2 linked regions of the Drosophila melanogaster genome follow. Changing the gene in region 1 together with any one later gene gives a genetic interaction. Each region holds a gene or a part of one and is shown on either strand. Other genes may lie near its edges.

Region 1 (5,044 bases):
TACATTCGGCCGTAATGGAAACGCCCACGTAAAGATCATCGTCACGATTCTTAAGGAAGCAGCGGTACTTCTCATCCTTACGCGACTCCTTTGTGTTGGCCACGGCAAAGTAGTGGTTCTTGCCCACAAACCAATCGCCCAGGCAGCTGAACTCCACGGTGCCGGTGAATGTGCCCTCCATACCCTCGCACTGCTGATAGGTGACGTTGAACTTCTGGTTCTGGATGAGGAACTGCGTTCCTGCCGTTTGACAGGACTGAATGCGAGCGTCGGGCTTATCGCATACGCCCGTGAATCGGAATCGGTTCTATAATAAAAGTTCAAATCAAGATCACTAATCAACATAAAATGGATATGTTTCTAGACCCTTAACTAAACCGCACCATGTGCAAATTATGTGATCTATGAATCTATTTTGATCTTACCTGGTACGTAAAATGCCACACTCCCTCCAGCGACGATCGGCAGTTGATGGGCACAAAGTTCTCGTTAAAGAGCGTTATCAACTGCTGGTCATCCTTAACACCACGACACACATAGTCCACGGTGGGTTCCTGTCCAGCGGGTATGCCCACGCAGGGCCCCTCAAACTTTTCGAACACATTAAGGGTGCGGATGATGGTCCTGACACAGTGATAGCAGTCCTTGGATCGCTCCTTGAAGACAAATGAGTACTCGTCGCCCTTGTGGCGCATGTAGTTGATGCAGTAGCCTCGGCTGGACATCGAGGTGGCGTCGATCACCGTCAGCGTGGGCAGGCCCGTTTCCCACGAGAACCACGATCCCTGCAGGATCTTTGGAATGATGCAGTTGTCCTTCTGCACCAGGTTGTACTGACCGAGGGCTGTAAAATGGATGGGCTTTAGTTTCGGGTGGCCAATTCACATGATTCACTTGGAGCCTTGGGTGTGGCTTGGGAATCGAATCACTGACCTGAGCCCATTAAGCCCACCAGGCAGATAGCAGCCAGGTAATAATGCATTGCGTGTTTGGTGTCCTCAGAACTAACAACTAAACATATTTATTACAATTTACTTTCAAATGGAAGCAACCAAAGGCGGTTTTAGTCAGAAACAATAGCAAAACACGCAACAAACACAAATTACCAATGATGGGCAAAGGCGACCTTACTAACACTGGCTTTAACGAAGAGCTAGCTGCACAGCACTGGCTGATAGCTATTAATCCACTCTTTATCAAATTGAGCGTTACTTTTTGAACTTAAAAATAGAGATTAATATTATTTACATATATGTATTTTTTTACGACTTTTCCTGGATAATCTAGACTCAAGTTTATGCTGTATGCAGCATAACTACTTCGTTGTATGCAATAGCTAATACAAATATATAATATCAACTCTTTTAACAATTCCTAAGAAAAATCGTTTCTATTAAAACGCTTTTTAGACTTACTCTATAATCTTAATGACACGTACTCAGACAACAAAGAGCTGTAAAAGATTAACCCAACCATACATTTTGTAATGAAATATTATTACTTGAACCTCAAGTTTAAATTTTTAATTAGCACTAGTTGAGCTATTACATACACATTGCCGTTTAATACAATTAGATATGAGATTTATTAATAAAGCTTAATTTATAAAAAAAAATGTTTCCATATCTATATATAGATTTGAATAAACACGCTTTTTGCAGTCTAGGGTTAATGGCAATGGAGTCTGGAGCCCCAGAAACGGGCACATCGAACCCGAGGAAGAACGCCCCCGCAATTATTCAACGGACTGCAGTTTGAACCTTTTCGTCACTTGTGCGGAATTAGCACAGCAATTTTCGCCATTACCGCTGCTAATCGGGTCATATATGGTGCGATTATGATCGCTGTACAGATATTCCTGGAATGTGATTCACATGCACGGAGTTCCTAAGCTGCAGTCCCCATATAGTACGTTCGAACTTTGGAGTCCCACACTAGTGCGAATGGCGTGTTTGCTGATAAGTCCGGCGGAGCGTCTAGGTGAACGGTGTTTGTGCCTCCATCCACGCCTTATCTGCTGGCAAAGGTCATCTTGGACTCCGAGCATGATCGGCGATCAGACAGCGGCGATTTGGTGTGCCAAGTCTATATGGTAGCAGCTCGATCGGAGGCCTGCCAGTATCAATTGAGCCGGCGACAGCAACAGTTCTCGCATCTCAACCGAATCTTCTCGAGAAATCCCAACACAAATGGGTTAGTGACACGCGCTGCCTGGTAGTGTCAACCCCCATTAATAATACGACTTTAAATCTTTGAACCCAGCAACTGCAACCAGCGGCAGTGGACTCCATCTGGAGGCCATCGATCGCATCGGCTCCATTCCCCTTGTGGAATCCAGTGTGAAGCGGGTGGAGACCATCTACGATAAGGTGAAGAACAACAATAGGCTATTCTCATGGTATTTTGAGACGGCGGAGGCCACCATTTCGGCCGCCTACGAAACCATCCAGCCGGCGGTCAAGCTCTTCGAGCCATCCATTCAGCGCCTGGACAACGTGATGTGCAAAAGCCTGGACATTCTGGAGCAGCGCATACCACTGGTCTATCTGCCGCCCGAAATGGTAAGTAGTCGGCTAGTAACTCCCCCCCATGCGCTGACAAAAGGGCATAATTCTCTGCTTGAAGATGTACTGGAACACCAAGGAGTACATGTCCGATCACCTGGTGCGTCCGGTTCTGAAACGCGCCGATTCTGTCAAGCAAATCGGTAATGCTGTCCTCGAGAGTCCACTTACCACTTATGCAGCCGAGCGCATTGATGGCGCTTTCACAGTCGGCGATAAGTTCGTGGACAAGTACCTGGTGCCCATCCAAACAGATCAGGATCAGACCGATGGTGAGTCCTGGTATCTCACATCTGGGTTAATCTTCAAACGCATGTTGGGGAATCTATTACATTTCATTTTATTTTAAACTGAAGTTCTTATATTTTGGCACTTTTACTAAACTAACTATTTATAATTCAAAATTGTTGTAGTGAAAAAATTGGTTTCGGCCCTGAATGATAACTTTTCGCCGATTCGACAACAATTAAACCGAATGTTTGGCCACAAAAGTTAGTATGCAAAATTACATATTTCTCCATATAACTAGAGATAATCAAAATCATATGAAAGATAGTTTAGTTTGCCAAAAGTTTTACATAAAAAGTAAGCGAAAGCAAGTGATTTGAAAAGTCAGCATCCAGGCAAATCACCTTAAGGTGCACTCATCTCATAGTTTATTTATAAATGCCCACGTTGTCGGGAAGGTTATCTCTGGGGAACGGCGGATTCATTGAAACCTGAAGCCAGAGAAAGTTGCGATAAGCTGAGCTCTGGCCGGAATTTGCTCTCTCATGCTCAAAAAAAATTGTATAAGACACTTATTCCGAGTATCCGCCTTGCAGGCCCACAGGAGGATGATAACGAGGCCGTGCCGGACGAGAGGGGCGCCATCAAGGCGATCCATCATGGTCAACGCTTCTCCCGCAAACTGAAGCGCCGCCTTACCCAAAGAACCATCGCAGAGGCTCGCGCCCTCAAAAAGCAGAGCAAGGAGGCGATCCACGTGCTCTTCTATGCCGCAGAATTGGTCAGTAAAATTCAGTAACCTATTTGCTTTAATTTTTGAGTATCATTTGGTAAAAAAAAAAACCATAAGATTACAGTAACCAATTCAAATTACTTACGAAATGATTACGCAATGTCTGTTTGTATTCTGGTGTACAACCGTAACCCAAATAACACTTTTAAACGAAACCCATTCCACAGATTGCCACCGATCCCAAGCAGGCCGTTCAAAAGGCCAAGGAACTGTGGGTCTATCTCAGTGCAGATGAACCCGAAAATCAAGCGAGGCCCGCCACTCTGGAGCAGTTGATTGTGCTACTGACCCGCGAATCGGCTAGGCGTGTGGTTCATCTAGTGAACTTCAGTGCTCATGTGGCAGCCAACATACCCAGGTTGGTAGATCCCGCCTCCATCCTTATCTTTCCATGTGAACCCCTTCGAACCAAACCTTACAGAAACCTGGCGCACACGACAACAGAGGTTGCCCACCATATTATCTATATCAACCACCGCATCATCACAATCTCACGGCTGGACAAGGTTAAAACCATCTCCAAAGAGGAAGCTGAATCTCTTTTCAAGCGCATGCTGGCGTTCTATGGTAGCCTTCAGGGCCTGACCAATGCCTACCTGGTAAGAAAGGATGTGATACTAGCAGTCAGACGGAAGATGATTATATATATTAAATATATTCGACAGGAGCGCGTGGCCAGCTTTCTATCCGGACGCATGGAGGCCGAGAAGGTGACGGGCAGCGATGGCGGCAATTCCAACCACCGGTCATCGCGGAGGAGGCAGGATCCGAACCATTATTCAGCCACCCACAATAACATCAACGGCGTCTACTAGCATTGAATTCTTTATTGCTATCGTATTTTTATTTCTGTTTCTCCGTGCATATACGGAAAATACACTAAACGATATTGTACATCTATTTTTAACATAATGCATTTGTCAATAATATAAGCCTAACTTCACGCTTAACAATACAACGCGGACTTTTATCCAAAATTATTATAGACTCATATTGCCAATAAAGCATTAGGTATTGAAAGAATTCCTAGGGTGCTTTAAATTCTTGCTTTAATTTATTTAAATAAGTTCGCTTTGTAATACGCAAGCTCTTTGATGCTTTCTCGGATGTCGTCCAGACTACGATGCGTGAAAGATTTTTTGGGAGCGGAATCCAGAATTGCGGGATGCCATCGCTTGGCCAGTTCCTTGATGGTGGACACATCGACGATGCGGTAATGCAGGTAAGCATCTACCAATGGCATGAATTTCATAATGAATAGTCGGTCGGTGTAGACGGAGTTCCCACCAAGCGGACAGGCGCGCTTTGGTATGTTCTTCTCGAGATAGGATAGCACTAGATTGGAGGCTTCTTCGAGATTCACATCCGAGCTCTTGCATCGATCAATAAGACCTGAATTGTAATGATGTTTCATGCACCACTCGTTCATCGAGTCGTAGACCTCCTGCGGATGGTTGAT
Region 2 (7,747 bases), 3.5 Mb from region 1:
AGGAGTTGCAGCTTGGGGAACTTCTTTACCAGCAAGTTTGTGGCCTTCAGCACGGCCATCAGGCTGGGATTGTTGCGCTGCAGAGCCTCAATTATGGCAGTGGTGCATTTTTCCTCCAGCAGCGCAGCATCGAGACGCTTCCAATGGTCGGTGAGCAGAATGGATTGGAGCATCAGGAAGGCAGTGGGTTGCTCGCTGGTCAAACGCTGGAAAAGATCCGCGAAGTGCGAGTCTTGTAGTTCGTACTTGTGCACTATGTGGTAGTACACACGGAAGCTAATGTTCAGGGCGGCTTGATTGGCACCACTGCACGTGTCCGCCTGCGCCGCCTCATCCTCCTCCGTCTGTATTCGTTGGGCCAGCTGCAGTGCGGCATCCTCCGGGCGGACATCTCCCAGGCCCTAGAAAGAACACAATATGTTACACCTCAGTCCCCGTGCCGTACTCAATTCACCTGCAGGTAGCAGAGGCAATCGCTGGGTCCGATTTTTGGCCGTTTTCCCGGAGATTCCGACATGCCCAATCTCAATTCTCACAACTTTCGTCTTACCACAACCAGGGCTCCACAAAACCGGCCACTGCGCTACGATAATTGCGCGGTAATCGATAATCGATGGCTTTTCGTTATCTAAAAACTTGAAACGCCCAACCGTTGTTGATTAAAAATTATGTTTCCAATTAATGTGACATATAATTTTTATATTTATCATTTATAGCGGTACCAAGTACTTCGTTTAGAGACTCAGTGTTTAAAATTTTCGTTATATTTTGTGAGGGATGGCTGTCTGGTAATGTTAACTAGGTACAGGGTACTGTATTCTGTTTTCTTTTACAGCGTTTTTAAATATTAAAAAGATGATAAATTTTTTTTTTTTTTAATAAACTTTATTAACAACAATCTTTGAATATAAAGCTTTCACAAAGCAGCTGTTTGATACAACCGATAAAATTAATTCGATAGCAGAAATTGCAGATCCGTAAGTTCAAAAGTTTTCTTGACAACCACAGCGCGTACAGGAAACGAGAAAAATATAATATTTTAAAGGTATTTCATGCAATCGATATAACAAACCGAAGACCAAATTGGCTCTTTGTTTTTTCAAGTGAGTGCTCCCTACAAAGTTCGTTATGATAAGAAAATGCATGTGTTTGTGCTCTTGGATTCAATGCTTGCAAGGTTTGCCTCGCGTTTTGTTTATTTATTTGCATACATGAAATTCAGATAAACGTGTGGATTTTCCTAGAACTGGTGCCATGCGTAATTAATGCAAATGCTTTCCGCATTTCCCAGCGTCGTGCTGCTCATCCACAGAGAATAGCTGCAGCCGATTTCAAGTTTCCTGTTCTGGCATCGCTCCCAGTTCGAAAACTCCAGCTTCCCCGCAACCCATCTTTTCGGTCCGCCCAATACTTGTAAATCTAGTTTCGACTGACTTCAGCACATGGCTTTCAGATGCGATACGAGATACAACCTATTCGCATTCTCGGCATCTGCCACCCCGAAAATTTCAAGGAAGCTCGGCTGAATGCGAATTTTTTGAACCAGTATTCAGCAGGTCGCCTATGTACTCGGTGTACATGGAGTTCTTATGCCGCAAAGGGGTAGTTTCTCACCTGTAAGAGGATTCACGAAAACCTTGTTTACCACACAGCTTGGCAGAAGCTCGATTTCCTACTGAGAATCCAATTTACAGTAGTCTCCCGTCGACAAGAACCTGAAATCGAATACCCAAAGGCCTAAGGTAATTCGATATCTTTGCTATTACACAAAAAGCAAGTTATTACAGTCGAGTGCGATTATCTGCGTTCACTTTGCTCTGACTACAGTGCGCACCAAAAGTAATCTCCCACAAGAACTTTGAAATGCTATAGTTAAATCCGTTAAGCCGTGAGTTTCGCTTTATTTTTAAATACTATTGCTCAGTTTCTAAGCTCAGTTATCCAACGGGCTTAAATCTCCAAAGTTTCAAACCTTTGAGCTAACACTCTTAACTTAATCTGCAATATTGAATTTAAAGATTATAGATAGTCTGAAACTTTCCGTTAGAGTCTTCTTCACTTCACGGAGAATGGCAGACGAGCGGAAAACAAAACTTGAAAAATCATTATACTCGATTTCAACATGTGTATACTACATTAAAACTGTAGCTTTTTGCAGTTTTTATTTGCTGTGTGTGTGTGTGTGTGTGTGTGTACGCGCGCGAACCCATAAATTTATATATTCCCCGAAATAACCCCGTTCTTAAAAAAAGAGCGGAATAAAAACGTAAATGGCAGCGAAAGAAGAAAAGGCGAAATAAAAAATAATAGGCAACTGTCTCTCCGGCAATCTCTCGCAATCTCAAAAACAACTAGCGACCATAACCATTATTTGTACCTTCCGAATACGAATACGAATACAAGTACGAACACGAATATATAACGTCGTAGCGCACACGCACACCAGCACAGGTGGCCGTTTATATAGTTGGGTTTTTGTAGGCCCGTTCGTCGCTTTTTCGAGTTTTAAAAATTAGTATTGAAATCGTCGTTAACGGCGACGGTTTGCCTCAGTTTTGACGCTTGAAAACGGTCGTATTTTCCACTCTCTCGCCGCTCTCTCGCTGGTAAGTGTGTGTGCAGTGAGCGAGCGCGTGCATGTGTTTGTGTGCAAGGTGTTGCTCTGCTTGGAAATAAATAAATAGTTCAAGTCGAACGAACTATTTGAAACTAATTGGCAGGCATGTGCATTAAGTTATCAACCGTTGCCATTAGCCGATTAGCGAAAAATGCCAGACAAAATATCACTTGTCAATAATGGATGTTAGTCACTGTGAAGGAAAGTTACGTTCTGTTTCTTTTTCTTGAAAAATTCTCAACTGCACATAACAAGCGTAAATTCGTTCGTCCCCGTCCGTGTGTGTGTGTGGGTGAGCCGAGCTGTGGCGAGAGCAAGACAGCGAGTTTAGTTCACTCTCTCGGCTCTCGCCAACCCGCACACCACCCCCCCCCCCCTACACCGTGCTCCATCTATTGGCTTATTATCGTATCTTTTTCATTACAGTGCTCTGCAGGCGATTTAAATTAAGTTGGCAATTACATTTCCATCTGGGAATTCAGTGGTTAGTGTGCCAGTTCGGAATTAGTTTGTTAATTGGGGCTGCCAAGGAAGAATCCGCCATGCAGAGCACACATCATGTGATATGTCATTCTGAAAGCTGCTTTTCGAACAACCCCCAACCACTGTGCGAATCTTGGTCGTCGTCGCTGGAAAAATACTCAAAATTTGAGATTCGATTCTAGTTTCAACCCGCCACTATGAATCTTTATATGTAACTTGCCCGCTTTCATTCATACTCGTTGTTCAGTACTGGCGGCGTATCATCCTCCGAATTGTAAGATGCGTAATCGGTTCTTAAATGTGTATTTCTACGCTGTATTCGGTTTTCGGCATTCGACGCTATCTTGTTTACTTGCATTTGGAAATCACTATCTCAAATATGTTCTGTTATTGAGCGTGTTCCACTTGCCACTTTGTCGCAGTGTATCTGTGTGCGGGAGAGTTCGTTTTTTACGTTAGCTTTTTGCTGTCATTCGTTTTGAAATAATCAAAATCGATAAAAAATTATATATATATATACATATAAGTTTCGTCGCTTTAGATTTGTAAGCTCTTTTCGTGCATTTATTTGGCTACGGCGAGCGTGTCGGTGAGCTGCCACCTTTGATGGGTTTCGATTTCGATTTCGGTTTCGGAATGTGTTAAACAGTTGGAAACACGTCAACTTTACACAAACAAATGTGTATGTGCCAGTAAATATCGAGTTGGTGGTGGATTCTGAAGACGAAAACCGAAACCTAACCGAATCCACGACTGCCTAACTTTTGACACAAAAAGTCCAAAACTGGATTTTTTCGTTGGCTCGTAGCCAGCATTTTTTTTTTAAACCATCTGCCAAGTGAATTTCCAGTGGGCAGAAGTATACATATCAAACGGAAGTCGATTTGCTGATTGAGAAGTTAGAATCCGAATCATATTTAATCAAGTTTTTCTGCAGTTTAAAATACCTATGTGATTTATGTAATATAGCCTTCAAATGAAGCGCGTAGCATGCTTTTAGTATAAATAAAATTTGATTACTAAAACAAGATTGAAGTAGTCATTTTTGGGCACAGAATGCCTACTATATGAATATGACTGACAATGTGTCTAAAAACTGAATTTTCGAGTTTTCCAAAACTGGTTATGACATCGGTTGTCAAGTCAATATTTCGTGGTTTTCGAAAACCAATTTTTAAACTAATATTGGAATATTTTCTTGCTTGTTTTCCAACAGCATCGGGAATTTAAGACCTTGATCAAAGGGTGCACCCTGAGAGCCACATCCATGTTAATGCCTCGCTACTTGGATAGCTCCACGTCGTCTGGCAGTCACGGAGCTGCAGGAGCGACCAACAGCTCCTCCTCTCCGCCGACGACGGTGGCCGCTCACACGAAGATGCGGCTGCTAAGTAAAGTGGAGCACAACATGCGTCAGAGCCAAGGTCACATCCAGAGCAACCAGAGCAACGCGAGCGGCCAGGACATCAACCACCTCCTGCACACGGCCTCCACGGGCAACGGCGTGGTGGACGATGTCGACGGACTGCTGACGCCCATGCGCATTAAGGCGCACATGTCGCCACCCTACTCCGCCGGCAGTTCGGTGAAGAGCGATTCCCTCGGCTATAGCCCTCGGCCGGAACGCAACCTGTGGAGCCGGGCCGAAATGCTGGAGATGCTGAGCATCATGCAGAACCTGAACGCCCTCGAGCAGCTAAACGACCGGAACATGAAGAGCGAGCAGGTCTTCCGGCAGATCGAAGAGGTGATGCGCAGCAAGGGCTTCGTGAAGAAGTCCAGCATTCAGATCTGGACAAAGTGGAAGTTCCTCAAGTCCACGTACAACACAACAACGCGACATGGTACGGGTGTGCCCAAGGTGGTGCCGGAGGAGGTTTACCGCGTGCTCTGCCGGATGTTAAGTGATACAAATCATGGCGGCGGCAACAGCAATGTCAACGGCAGCCTTAGTGAATGCGGCAATTCGATGGACAGTTCCAAGACGGCGGGCGATGATAACAAGGAGGATATTCTCGGAGTGGAGCATCCCATATTCGGCTTCCGACTGGGACCCATTAAACCCGAGCCAATTGATATAGGTGAGTGGGATTGTCAAAATGAAAGTATGTTAAGAGAGTCATTACTGAAAACACGTACCATTCTATATTTGCAGGCTATGAGACGACCGAAAAACATGATATGGTGTCCGAGCCCGACATGGAGTCGTTCGACTACGAGGCAGGAAGCTCCCATGCCGACAACGGCGACCAGGAGGATGTGCCCCACTTGCCGTTTATAGTGTCCGTTAAACATGAACCCGACGTGGATCTGGGCATGGACACCACCAACACACCGCCGCCCACAGCGCCAGCCTCGCCTTCACCGCCACCAGTAACTGTGGATGACACCGAAGATGACAGCGTTTACTCATCCACGCCGGTGGCACCACCTCCCCTGCGTGTGGCCTCCTTTGCCAAGGGCGAGTTGCGACGACCCACCCACGGCATACTGCAGATCGACCGCCCGCCACCGACGCTCACCAAGATGGGACAGCAGCAGATACCCAATCCGGGCCAGATGAGCCGGTCCGTGCCGCTTCAGAGCACCAGCAGCATAAACTTTGTCCACCCACACAGCAAGTTAATGTTACCGAGAAGGCAGAATCCGAATAGCAGTCAGTCCGGGCTGCGACTGCCCAGGGATATCAGTGTCCAGTCGACAGGAATGCGTATGAAGACGGTGCCAATGAGGGACACGGGCTACTCGCTGCGTCCGGATCGAATGACTCACGACATCGATCAGTCCACGTCCAGTCCACCGCAGTCGCCGTCCACAATGTCCAGTCTCTTGGGTCGCGGGCCGCCACCGAAGTATCAGATAGCTGGTCAGCAAGCAGGTGCTTCCACCAGCAGGCAGGCCCACATGATGTCTTCCCACCAGCTGACACCGGTGCAGCACCAACAGCTCCAGCCGCGAAAGCGTCGATTGGGCCAAAGTCCGGTGATGGGAATGCCCGTGCCGGTGAAACTGCAGCGCAGCAGTAATATGTACGGCTCAGCTCCGAAAGATATCCGATCTCACCCTGCGGTTGGCGAGGAGAGCAAAAAGAAGTCCAGCGAGGAGGAGACCAAGCAGCGCAGAAAGCGTCAGGACGAGCTGCTGGCCAAGGAACTCAGCCAACTGGCTTCTGCCATGCGCACGGCACAGAAGGAGATGTTGCAAGACTTCTTCCTCCAACAGAAGGAGATCGCACGGCGGGAGCACGTGTTCCAGATGAAGCAGGACTCGTTGGTAATGCGGACGCTGCGCAGACAAACAGATGCGCTGCTGAGAACAGCCAACGAGCTGGTCAGTGGAGTTTCCGAGGCAGCTAAAATGGAGCCCGACGATAAGGAAGGTGTCATTCCCGAAACTCAAATGCCGTTCGAGCCAGAAACCGAGCTTCAGACTCCGGAAAGCGAGGAGGACAATGAAAATGGAGAAGGGTATGCTGGCGATGATGTGCAGGAAACTATGGAAGAGCCAGATTATGAAGACAATGAAGATGATGATTATGAGCACGATGAGGACGAGGAAGACGAAGGCGACTACGACGAGAACATGGCCAATGACAGCGACCTGGAAATGTCCAATCTAGCCATGTCCGAGGGCTCCAACAATGCCGAAATCATTAGCGGAGGGCACTAGATGGCTATCTCCTAACTTCCTAACACATCGCCAAGTATTACCCCAAAAAGACAAACACCATTGTTAATACCGATTCATTCCAATCGCATTCCTTAAGCTATATATACTAACCATATATATATATATATATATTCCTAGAGCCAGACCCGCGCATTGTTAAAAGACTTGATTATATTTAAGCATTAATACATAAATGAAACCTAAAGTAAATTAAAATGTATTTATTGTTCATCAACCGTCTATGCCCCAAAGTGCTGTAAAGTTATTGAAACCACAAAATACTTAGGTAACCATATGATATATATCAAAATATATATGTACCTTGTACATTACATGAACAGAATATGTGTGAATTTGTTCGGGTATCGAAAGTGGGCTTTGAATTCTTAGTTGAAAAATATTCATTTACTATGAATGCAGTTAGAAAAACACATTTTCGAAATCACTGTAAATTTCCTAACACGAAATTTATTAAATAGTATTGCATTAGTTTGGGAAACAAATAAGAATTTACAACTAAACGAAAAACAGAAAAAGTAGAGCGCCCTAAAGTTACGAGAAATCAAACTTACCGCCTAGAGTTCTTGCAAAATTTTGTTATAAACCGAACATGAAATAGTAGCTAGCTTAAAATGACAATCTGCGAGTGCACTAAATTAGTTAATGCCCATTGTGTGTGCTGTGCCTGCGCCTGTCCTGTCCTATGGATTAGTGTACCTATACTCTCTGCTGATTAGCACGATCCGTAAACGCCTAAAGCAAAGTGTTAGCAGCTAGTGTTTATTTTACAATTACCATTACGACAACCCCGCGACCCTGTGATACCACGCCCCTCCTCCTCCACGACGGCACTTAGTCGGGCCGGTAGATGGGCGTTTTGGGTATAAATTCAATTAAAATAACATACTCCATCATGGAATTGGAATCACATTGTTGCTTATGCAGTCGCCAGTGCAGGCCCAGCTTATGATATAGATG

Evidence for each region.
Region 2: of Lsd-1 (region 1) and mrt, changing one suppresses a phenotype caused by changing the other (phenotypic suppression), as found in Drosophila melanogaster (one study listed by BioGRID).

Annotation. Positions count from the first base shown.
Region 1 is NT_033777.3:23,762,124-23,767,167, forward strand, and holds Lsd-1 (lipid storage droplet-1), read left to right. Parts: upstream 1-2,114; 5' UTR 2,115-2,189; coding exon 2,190-2,193; exon of another isoform or gene 2,194-2,262; coding exon 2,263-2,561; intron 2,562-2,625; coding exon 2,626-2,836; intron 2,837-2,977; coding exon 2,978-3,055; intron 3,056-3,388; coding exon 3,389-3,573; intron 3,574-3,752; coding exon 3,753-3,943; intron 3,944-4,006; coding exon 4,007-4,184; intron 4,185-4,250; coding exon 4,251-4,400; 3' UTR 4,401-4,539; downstream 4,540-5,044. Other genes in the region: udt (undicht), read right to left, coding at 1-307, 426-844, 934-982; CG10214 (uncharacterized protein), read right to left, coding at 4,640-5,044. UniProt on the Drosophila melanogaster protein: Required for normal deposition of neutral lipids in the oocyte.
Region 2 is NT_033777.3:27,276,612-27,284,358, reverse strand, and holds mrt (martik), read left to right. Parts: upstream 1-1,697; 5' UTR 1,698-1,742; intron 1,743-2,511; exon of another isoform or gene 2,512-2,606; intron 2,607-3,328; exon of another isoform or gene 3,329-3,374; intron 3,375-3,647; exon of another isoform or gene 3,648-3,782; intron 3,783-3,929; exon of another isoform or gene 3,930-3,998; intron 3,999-4,316; 5' UTR 4,317-4,367; coding exon 4,368-5,181; intron 5,182-5,255; coding exon 5,256-6,769; 3' UTR 6,770-7,110; downstream 7,111-7,747. Other genes in the region: CG3368 (uncharacterized protein), read right to left, coding at 1-401, 455-517; CG5938 (uncharacterized protein), read right to left, coding at 7,622-7,747.